Linked DNA regions of Yarrowia lipolytica. The protein of the gene in region 2 purifies or fractionates together with the protein of the main gene of each other region. This does not show direct contact. Links are inferred from orthologs where the notes say so. Each region holds a gene or a part of one and is shown on either strand. Other genes may lie near its edges. The genes, in order: YALI1_E17171g, YALI1_D10865g and YALI1_A03402g.

Region 1 (3,026 bases), on a different chromosome or scaffold from region 2:
GACCAAAGTTGGCAACTACGGCCTGGACGGTGGTCAGGTTCCAGGGCTGGCCCATGAGTACCACGTCCAGGAAAAGGGCGACGGCAGGGACCAGGTGGATGGACATGTCGAGCCACAACGGAATCTGTTCCTTGACGGCGGGGTGTTTGAGCAGCTTGGGGTCGTAGAGCTTGAGGGACCAGTAGAGCACGGTGATGACGCACTCGAGGGGCGTCACAGCCACCGACACGGAGTTTTTGAGCTGGTAAAGCAGATTGCTGAAGTCCTTGGAGTAGAGCGAGGCTGCGTCGGCCAGCAGAGCAAGCAAGAACGCTAGGTAGCTGCCGCACAGACCCAGAATGGTCAGGTACTGGTACTTTCCTCCGTACGAGGCATTGAGCGGGTTGGGGTACTGTTCCAGAAAGTGGAACGACGAGGCGAATGAGATGAAGCCAATCAGGTGGTAGGCAAAAGACAGACCCACGTTGGGCGAGCTAATCCACGGCTTGTAGGGCGCCTTGGTGGTGCGGATGGCTCGGGTGGCTTCTCGTTCCTGTTGCGTCATGATTCGGGCTGAATGGCAATGTGCAGAGTGACTGTACTTTGTGTCGTGTGTGTCAATTTTTCACACGCTCTCCTCCAAAGTAGGCCACACTCTTTCTCTGTTGCTCCCTTGCATAGCGATAAGCGTACGCAATCCACGTGGGTGCGTCTAACTCCATCGCTGGATCCCGGTCTAAATACATCTTTTTTAGGCGAGCCACGCGACTGGCGGCTAATTGCGGTGCAGAGGCCACCCGGTGACAACTAAGGCGGTTCCCTGGGCCCCTCGGATCCCCATATACTCTATCCATTTGGCTTTTGGCCAACACTGTAGCTATTACGAGGGGACGTTGCTCGTCAGCAATATTAGTCTTCGTGTGAAAATATAATTAACCTCCAACGATTGTTTCCAACAGCAGAGTCCAGTAAGCACAAGTACGACTTTTTTGCTGGAAGTTTTTTGTGAGAATGGTATGGTATGACAGCCACATAAGTGAAGCAGGAACAAGGAGCAAGTAGTTCATTTACCACTCCGTACAAGTAGCGAATTGACGTTGGTTATATAGGTATGGAGTTTCAAACGTATCAGAGTATGATGAGCATGTACATTCTCTACAAGTACGTATATGTATGTACATACTGTACCAGTACAACTGAGGTCATATCGTGAGCTGAAACTATGGGTTAGATGAGATGGAACACCAACAGAGAGAGGAGCCAGAGAGGGAACAGTCGAGGGAACAGTCGAGGGGAACAGTCGAGGGGAACAGTCGAGGGAACAGTCGAGGGTTGCCTTTACTTACTTTACTCCAACCCTTTTTCAGTATGTACTTTTTTCAAGTGTTCAGCGTCTCGTCACCATTTCAAGCTTGAACTGTGGTCTTCAGTATGTATGAGAGACTTTGATTAGTTAATTTAGTTGATTTAGCTGATTTGTGTGGATAGGCGATTGCAAAATAAATGGTTCCCCTCTTTAATACACAGTCAATTAGAATGGCTTTTTTCTTTCTTTTAATTTTCTATATATTTATGGCGGTTTTATCCAATTTGTTTTGGTTTTATCACCGCACACTCCTCCCACTGACTAAGTGCATCACGTGCCGGGTGGAAAATCAAATTTGTCAAGGTTACGCATATCCACCACCACAGCGTCATCACTAACACAAAAATGCAAGGGTTTCAGATGCTGCGGACCCGAGTCGCCACGGGCGCCATCGGAGGTGTTCGACACAATTCTGGCCTCGCCAGTTTCATGAACCGTGAGTTGAGCGCTTGCGAGCAGGCTGATTTGAGGATCTGACCAAGATGGAACGACTCCGGATCGTACTAACACAGTGCAAAAGGAAATCAGCAAGATCCCTAAGACGGACGCCGAGGAGCTGAACAAGGCCCGAGAGACCCAGAGACAGATCGACCAGAGCGCCAAGGGTAAGGAGGTGGTGCGACACTACGTCCATGTGACCGCTACCAAGAACAACTTGCACATCTGCGCTACCGACGAGTTTGTTGACAAGTCCTTCATTCCCGAGAGCATTGACGAGAAGCTGCTGCAGAAGGTGCGAGCCCCCCAGGAGGTGCGATTCCACATTTCTTGCGGACATCTCGGCATTAAGAAGAAGGAGCGAGGAGAGTACGACGGAGCCTTCCAGACCAGTGTCCGAGCCTTTGAGCTGCTCGAGAAGAAGGGCATGCTGACCCGACCCGTCGAGGTTGTTGTCCGAGGCTTTGGACGAGGCCGAGAGGGTTTCTTTGCCGCTCTCACTGCCCCTGAGGGAGAGAAGGTGGCCTCCAAGGTCGACCGTCTGTCTGACCGAACCAAGCTCAACCAGGGAGGTACCCGACCTCCTGGACGACGACGAGTCTAAACGGGTGCATTGTACATAGGAATAGTATTCATAGTTGGTGTTTGAGCGATGCTGTAGCCTGTACTGGTATGTTGATGAGCCGCAACGCTCGGATACAATAAGGCAAGTATGACGAACAAACAATGGCCAACAATGACCGCACAGTATTGCTTTTTTGAACAATCTGATCTCAAGTGCATAGTCACTTGATTGCTCGGTCAAAATGTCTTTTGCCTTCAATATCAGCTACACTCCTCCTACCCCATACTAATCTCCGCATGTATGGATAAACTTCAGCAGTTTTGAAATATCCCGACTAACGACCCCGACCAACAGTATCGTACTTGTGAAAACAGCAGAACACATGTTTCGAAACGCCCGATTGGCTGGATTGGTATGCTCAGCTCGACGAGCAGGCGTGGTGAGTGCCCGAACTTCGCGAGCCATGCGACTCACCGGCGGATCCCGAGGACTCTCTGGTCTCCACAGTAACGTCAACATCACTCTCAAGCAGATTGAAGCCACAGTGCCCAAGTTTGCCGTGGACAAGGGCCAGATCCAGGTTCTGTACGATCCCGAAGAGTTCTACGACCAGCTCAAGCAGAAAATCCTGGCGGCGAAGGAGCGTGTGTTCCTCTCCACTCTTTACGTTGGCAAGGA
Region 2 (3,208 bases):
TAGCTGTATTTTTATTACGAGTAAGTCTGAGACTGTGTGAATGGTGTTTCTTACTTCTACTGTGATGTGTTAGAGGGGTGTGTATTTGATTGCTGTAGTGGATGGGCCAAGTAATGCGAATAATTCTCAAGTAAAGCCATGTAAATTTATGGAGGGTAAAGAGGGTCGATCACTGAACGAATACAAGTACAGATTGGTACCGGTACGAAAAGTACAAGTACATATATGCTACTTGTAGGGAAAAGCGACAAACATTAAGGGAAAATAAACACTCTTGGACTTCGTAATTACAACATCTTTAGAGACTCTCTTCCTTCAAGCTACAGTAGACCCCATCTAGTCTACAGAGGAGACGTCTTTCAGAGTGAAGCTCTAGAAACATACCACTGGTTGCGACTTCAAAGCAGTAAAGCAATGAGATCTATCTAACCACTGTTTGAGTATCTACAGTGAGATTGAGTCGTAGTGATCTTGAGCAGCGTATAAACCATACTATTATACTGTTCAAGCTCTCATGCACGGATCTCGTGTTTCATTCTTACGCCCATTCTCTCGGAGTAAGCTCCTCGATATCGGGATCTGTTCTCTCCTTAACTATATACAATACTCTACTTTCGGGGTCGGCTGGGGTCAGCATGGACTCGGTTGGCCACGGCGAGGTTGTGGATGACCAGGGTCTTCTCCATGAGCGACGCTCCCTTGGACTTAATGACGGATGCTATCTCCTCTCCGAGTCGGACCGAGAATGATCGGTTGGGCCGCTTCTCGGCGTTGTCGACGGACCACTTCCACACTATTCGTCGTCGCTGTCGCTCGGTGATGGGAACGGGGTACTGGACCTTTCGAGCACCAACGGGGGTCGACTTGATGACACAGACGGGGGCAACGTCATCAAAGACCTGCTTGAGCAGAGGAATGGGGTCGGCCTTGATCATGACCTGAGCGAGCTCCATAGCCTGGTAAAAGTGCCGTCGGGCAGCGTTCTTTCGGCCATGCTTCATGATCATATTGATCAGATGGGCCTCGAACTCGCCGTCGACCTTGTTGGGGATGGGCGCAGTCTTGAGAGCCTCAGCCTCGGCCACCTGCTCCTCGGTGGGCACAAACAGAGCCTTCTTACCGTTCTTGCCGGTGATGACCTGCTCAAACTGCGACTCAGAAGTGGGGTCGATGAGCGCCATGGGGTCGACCTTGTTGGCGGAAACGTCGCTGAAGAAGCCGGAAACAGTGCTCTCCTGTCGGTACTTGTCCAGCGTCTCTCGGAACTTTTGCATGTCCAGAGCGTCCTTACCCTCAAACTTTTCGGTCGACATGCTCTTGGCCTTGATGTCGTCCAACAGAGCAATCCACTGTCGAGCATGGCCCTCGGCGGTCTCGGGAGCAATGGGCTTTACGGCGTTGGCCTTGATTCGCTCCGTGTACTTGGCAGCAATAGCGTCTGTGTCCTCCTCACCCAGATCGGAGTTGACGGCCAGCTCCTGGGCAAGGGCCTTCTGGTCGCCGTCAAATCGGTCTGCTCGCACGTTCAGACCCACCAGGATCTTGGCGGGCGACGCCGAGGCGTATCCGCGACGGGCGGAGAACCGAGCTAGTCCTGAAGTCGTTCTCAGCATGGTGGTGTGTGTAGATGGTGATGTGAGAGTGAAAAGTTAGTTTGAGTTGGGTGTAGGAGAGGTGGTACCGGTGGAACCTGGGGGGGTTGGAGCGGGGGCCAAGGAGCGGTAAATTCGCAGAAATAAAGGCTGTAGGTGAAGTAGCTTGTCTTTTTGTATATATTTACTTTTTTCATTTTGTCATTTATGCTCCCATTCCATCATTTATCACATACCTCTTTATATCTCCAAATACAATCCTTGCAGCCTCAAAGTGTGTGAAATTTGAGGTGAAATTTCGGTCACTCGACTTTTTTTAGCTTTTCGGAGAGAGAATATGGGTATCAGTAAAATGGGGAGTTTGAGGACTGCAGCCTTGAAAAATTGACAGAATATATATTGCCACAGCGAAAATATTTCGACTAAATTTCACCCATCTATCTCTTCTTCAACCTCCTCAAATTCCCATTGTCGTCCAGCTCTATAGTATGAAGAAGGTTTTGCTTAGTTATCAGGGTAGGGTTTTTCCTAGTTGACACAAGATCTTTATATGGTGTCATTTTTTGCGAATAAAACACCTTAGATTTACTTTTCCAACCATGGGCTATTGATTCCTCTTTTCTTCATCTTTCTAGCCTTCTTACAGCCATTTCTGGAAACCCTCCCGCTTCTCCTCCATTTTCACTGCATTTTTTAACTTCTCACCACTGAACATTTTCATAATCATCACACAACATGCTCAGACTGGCAAACCAAAGCAGGGTGCTCCAGGGAGCGTTTGCACGAGCCACGGTTGTAGGCCGGGCCTCCGCCGTGACCCATGTTCGTTTCATGTCCGATTCGACCGACGTTCCTCCCTCGGATCAGTCCAAGCCCTCGTTCCGAACCGACAAGCGCATTGAGTCAGCCACTCCGTTTGCTGAGCCCTCCGAGATCCCCTCTGCAGACGCCTCTCTGCTTCCCCGGACCAACCGAGTCGAGGAGCTCCAGTTTGAGGCCAAGTACACGCTCGACGCCAAGACGAAGGAGGCTCTGGATACCATTGAGGAGCTGGGCTTCAAGACCCGGCAGAACCTGGATCCCGAGCGATTCAGCGACGAGGAACTAGACCCCAGAAACTGGACCGGCCTCGAGTTCCATGAGGTGGTCACGCGTCTTCACAACCGACAGTTCAAGCTCGGATCGGCCTACTCCCAGAGCGAGGAGGAACTGCGACAGCTGGTTCGAGCTGGTCGAGTTGCTGGAGCCGACGCTGGCGTAATCCGATCCGCCTACCACGGCAAGCATAGCGTCGTTGAGAAGAATGAGGAGGACGACGATCTTTTGGATGCTGATCACGTTAACGAGTTCATGTACGACGATATCCCCACTGCTGGACACATGCAGGTGGAGAAGGTGCGAAAGATGCGACACCTCCAGCGAATGTCTGCCTACGTGCTCCCCCGACTCGTCGATTATCATGTGCCCTTTGATGTCAAGGAGGCTGACAAGAAGGCTTCTCCCCTGACCTTCAAGTACACCTCGTACACCGGAGAGGAGGCCGACGAAGAGGCCAAGGTGGTCTGCTACTTTGACCCTGCCAACCTGGGTCTCTCCGACAAGGGCCTGCACAAGTT
Region 3 (2,833 bases), on a different chromosome or scaffold from region 2:
CTCCGTACTCACCTCGGAACTCCCGCTCTCGTGGGGGAGGTCGGCTGTACCGGTCTCCTCCTCGCTCGCTTCGATCTCGGTAGGAGTCCCGGGGCTCTCGCATGTCTCGGGAGTCTCGAGGTGGGGGTCCTCGGTAATCTCGGGAAGGAGGGTATCGCTCTCGATCCCGATCATCGTACCGGCCACCACCGTAGCCACCTCGCTCTCCTCGGTATCCAGCACCGCCACCAGGGGCGCCGCTACCGGGGAATCGGTCTCGGTCATCATACCGGGGAGGAGGGGGTCGTCGGTAGTAGTCCTCTTCGTATCGACGGTCGTCGTATCGAGAGGGGGGAGGTCGTCGGTAGTCGTATCGGTCTCGGGAGTATCGATCGTCTCCGTATCGTCCTCCACCTCGGCCACCTCGTCGGGCCTTGGGAGGTCCAAAGTATCGACCGGGGGTGGGGGTTCGGGCTCGCTTTCGCTTGGCCTTCTCAATGGCAAGAGTCTTGCCAGCAAGCTCATGGCCGTTAAGTTTGGCCAGAGCCTCGTCGGCGCCCGTAACGTCGGCCATCATGACGAAACCAAAGCCTCGGGACTCGCCAGAGTGGGGGTCCATCATGATCTGGCACTTGAGAACCTCGCCAAAAGGCTTGAACAGGTCCTCAAGCTCGGTCTCATTGACGTATCGGGACACGCCAGTGACGAAGAGATTGGTGCCCTCGTTCTGGGCGTCAACATCGTCGTCGTCATTCAGGGGCTCCTTTGACCGTCGGTCCAGGTCTCTGTCGTCTCTGTCAAAGTCACGTCGGTCGTCTCGACGGTCAAGGTCGTCCCGGTCGTCCCGTCGGTCGAGATCGTCTCGGTGGTCTCTGTTTTCGTCGTCCCGGTCATCTCGACGGTCGAGGTCGTCTCGGTCTCGCATGCTGTGGTCTCGGTCGTCGAGCTCTCGGTCGTCGTGGGTGTGCTCAACAGGGGCACCAGCCTCGTCGTCATCACGACGGGGAGACACACTTCGTCTCTCGTAGGTCTGTTCAGGGGAAGCCGAACGGTCTGTGTTAGTGGATGCGTGTGGGTGGATTGGCGTGATGCACTGGTGCCGAATACAGACACTTGTGGTGGACAGATGCAGACCGAGCCCAGCACAACCTCATGGCGAACAAAATGGGTAGACAAATATGGGAACAGCTCCAACTGGACCCGTTCTGTGTCCTTGAAACAGGTTCGGCGCAATACACCTTTGCAGCGGGCACTTGTCGAGTGTCTCTTCTCTTCTCTTCTCTCATTCTGTCGTTGCGGTTGTGCTAGTATTCTTGTTGGGTGGAGAGCTCAGTATCTTTGCCAACAGATATAAGATACGGCTTGCGGTTGCTCGTGTGCGACAGTGCACGCCGCCTTGTGCGCTCGCAGGTATCAATTACTCACTGTATTCTTCGTCGGCCATTTTTCGTGTCTGAATAAGATGTACGAAGGGGTCTTCTGCCCACTGACTTTTACATTTCTGACGGGGGTTACCCGGAAGCCACACCCAACTATATACTATACATACACACACACACACACACTGGGTGGGTCTCCTTGGGAGTTGGGTCTCTGGGCTTACGGCCGGGTAACACTGAAATTTGCATGCAGTGCCACTATCTCAAAGCTTGAAGTCAGCAGTTTCGCGATCTCGAACTACACAAAATGCTTCGATCTCTGGGAGCTGCCCTCACAAACGCCCGAATGGGCATGGCTCGTCTGCCCTGGACAGCCTCTGCGCTCCCCAAGCCCACAATGAGCCCCACCCTGGCCGCTCTCACCGTGCGACACAAGACCATCAACCAGATCCAACGAGACGGAGGCCGACCTGTGCCTTACCGACGAAAGAAGTCTCCCGATCTCGAGTCGTGCCCTCAGCGAAAGGGCGTTGTTCTGCGAGTTCTGATTCTCAAGCCCAAGAAGCCCAACTCTGCCCAGCGAAAGGCCGCCCGAGTCCGTCTCAGCAACGGCAAGGTGGTGACCGCCTACATTCCCGGAGAGGGTCACAACGCACAGGAGCATAGTGTGGTCTACGTCCGAGGAGGCCGAGTCCAGGATACTCCCGGTGTCAAGTACCATCTGATCCGAGGAGCCGGCGATCTCGGAGCTGTGCCCAACCGAGCCAGCTCGCGATCCAAGTACGGAACCAAGAAGCCCGCTGCTCCGGGCGCCTAATGTATATAGTAATGGAGCATCAGCTAGCGACACGTCGTGAGCTGTGTATGTGATGGTTTTCGGGATGCGGTGATTCTGTAAATAATGGGATGTAGAGGAGGTTCCAGTGAGGGACTTACTGGAAGCAGAGTCGTAAAAAGGTGCTATTATTGAGTAGTTGCACAGTTGAAGTCGCTTATCCTGTGACAATGTCATGTTCCGGATTATTCTCCCGAACACTTGCTATCTGGGATCATGAACGTGGTTATCCTGGTCAGGACGGGAAAATGGCCTGCTCATCTACAAAGTCATCGAGCCTGGTCATATTGATTTAAAATACACGTAACAATCAAACTCTTCAGAGTGGTTACCGTACCAGTACCCACGCCAATCTATCTCGATAATGCCTTCCATACACCTTCACTACAGTCAGTTGTTATTCATATCATATTCATTACAATGGTACATGGAGACATACCGATGCATAGCTAGTTCCGACCGTTAGATGAAGAGAAGTCAATCAGCAGCACGCTACGTCAAGTTACTGGCCACCTAGTTGGGATGCTTGAAGGTTCTTCCACTGGCGGTCTTCTTCTCCTTGACCACATTCTCCTGCTTTGCTCGGTTCAGCACCTTGAGGAACTCGCTCACTCGGAATCGCATTCGCGAGTGCATATAG

What was found.
Region 1: the proteins of YALI1_D10865g (region 2) and YALI1_E17171g purify together in Saccharomyces cerevisiae (affinity purification with mass spectrometry, with the first as the bait; 3 studies listed by BioGRID). This does not show direct contact. The link is inferred for Yarrowia lipolytica from reciprocal best matches to the Saccharomyces cerevisiae genes RSM7 and MRPS18.
Region 3: the proteins of YALI1_D10865g (region 2) and YALI1_A03402g purify together in Saccharomyces cerevisiae (affinity purification with mass spectrometry; 3 studies listed by BioGRID). This does not show direct contact. The link is inferred for Yarrowia lipolytica from reciprocal best matches to the Saccharomyces cerevisiae genes RSM7 and MRPS12.

The regions. Positions count from the first base shown.
Region 1 is NC_090774.1:1,715,977-1,719,002, reverse strand, and holds YALI1_E17171g (mitochondrial 37S ribosomal protein uS11m), read left to right. Parts: upstream 1-1,690; coding exon 1,691-1,781; intron 1,782-1,857; coding exon 1,858-2,387; downstream 2,388-3,026. Other genes in the region: YALI1_E17184g (uncharacterized protein), read right to left, coding at 1-544; YALI1_E17162g (uncharacterized protein), read left to right, coding at 2,731-3,026. UniProt on the Saccharomyces cerevisiae protein: Component of the mitochondrial ribosome (mitoribosome), a dedicated translation machinery responsible for the synthesis of mitochondrial genome-encoded proteins, including at least some of the essential transmembrane subunits of the mitochondrial respiratory chain.
Region 2 is NC_090773.1:1,085,003-1,088,210, reverse strand, and holds YALI1_D10865g (mitochondrial 37S ribosomal protein uS7m), read right to left. Parts: upstream 1,614-3,208; coding exon 609-1,613; downstream 1-608. Other genes in the region: YALI1_D10858g (mitochondrial 37S ribosomal protein mS35), read left to right, coding at 2,328-3,208.
Region 3 is NC_090770.1:338,585-341,417, forward strand, and holds YALI1_A03402g (mitochondrial 37S ribosomal protein uS12m), read left to right. Parts: upstream 1-1,665; coding exon 1,666-2,175; downstream 2,176-2,833. Other genes in the region: YALI1_A03396g (uncharacterized protein), read right to left, coding at 1-1,032, 1,405-1,423; YALI1_A03422g (uncharacterized protein), read right to left, coding at 2,707-2,833. UniProt on the Saccharomyces cerevisiae protein: Component of the mitochondrial ribosome (mitoribosome), a dedicated translation machinery responsible for the synthesis of mitochondrial genome-encoded proteins, including at least some of the essential transmembrane subunits of the mitochondrial respiratory chain.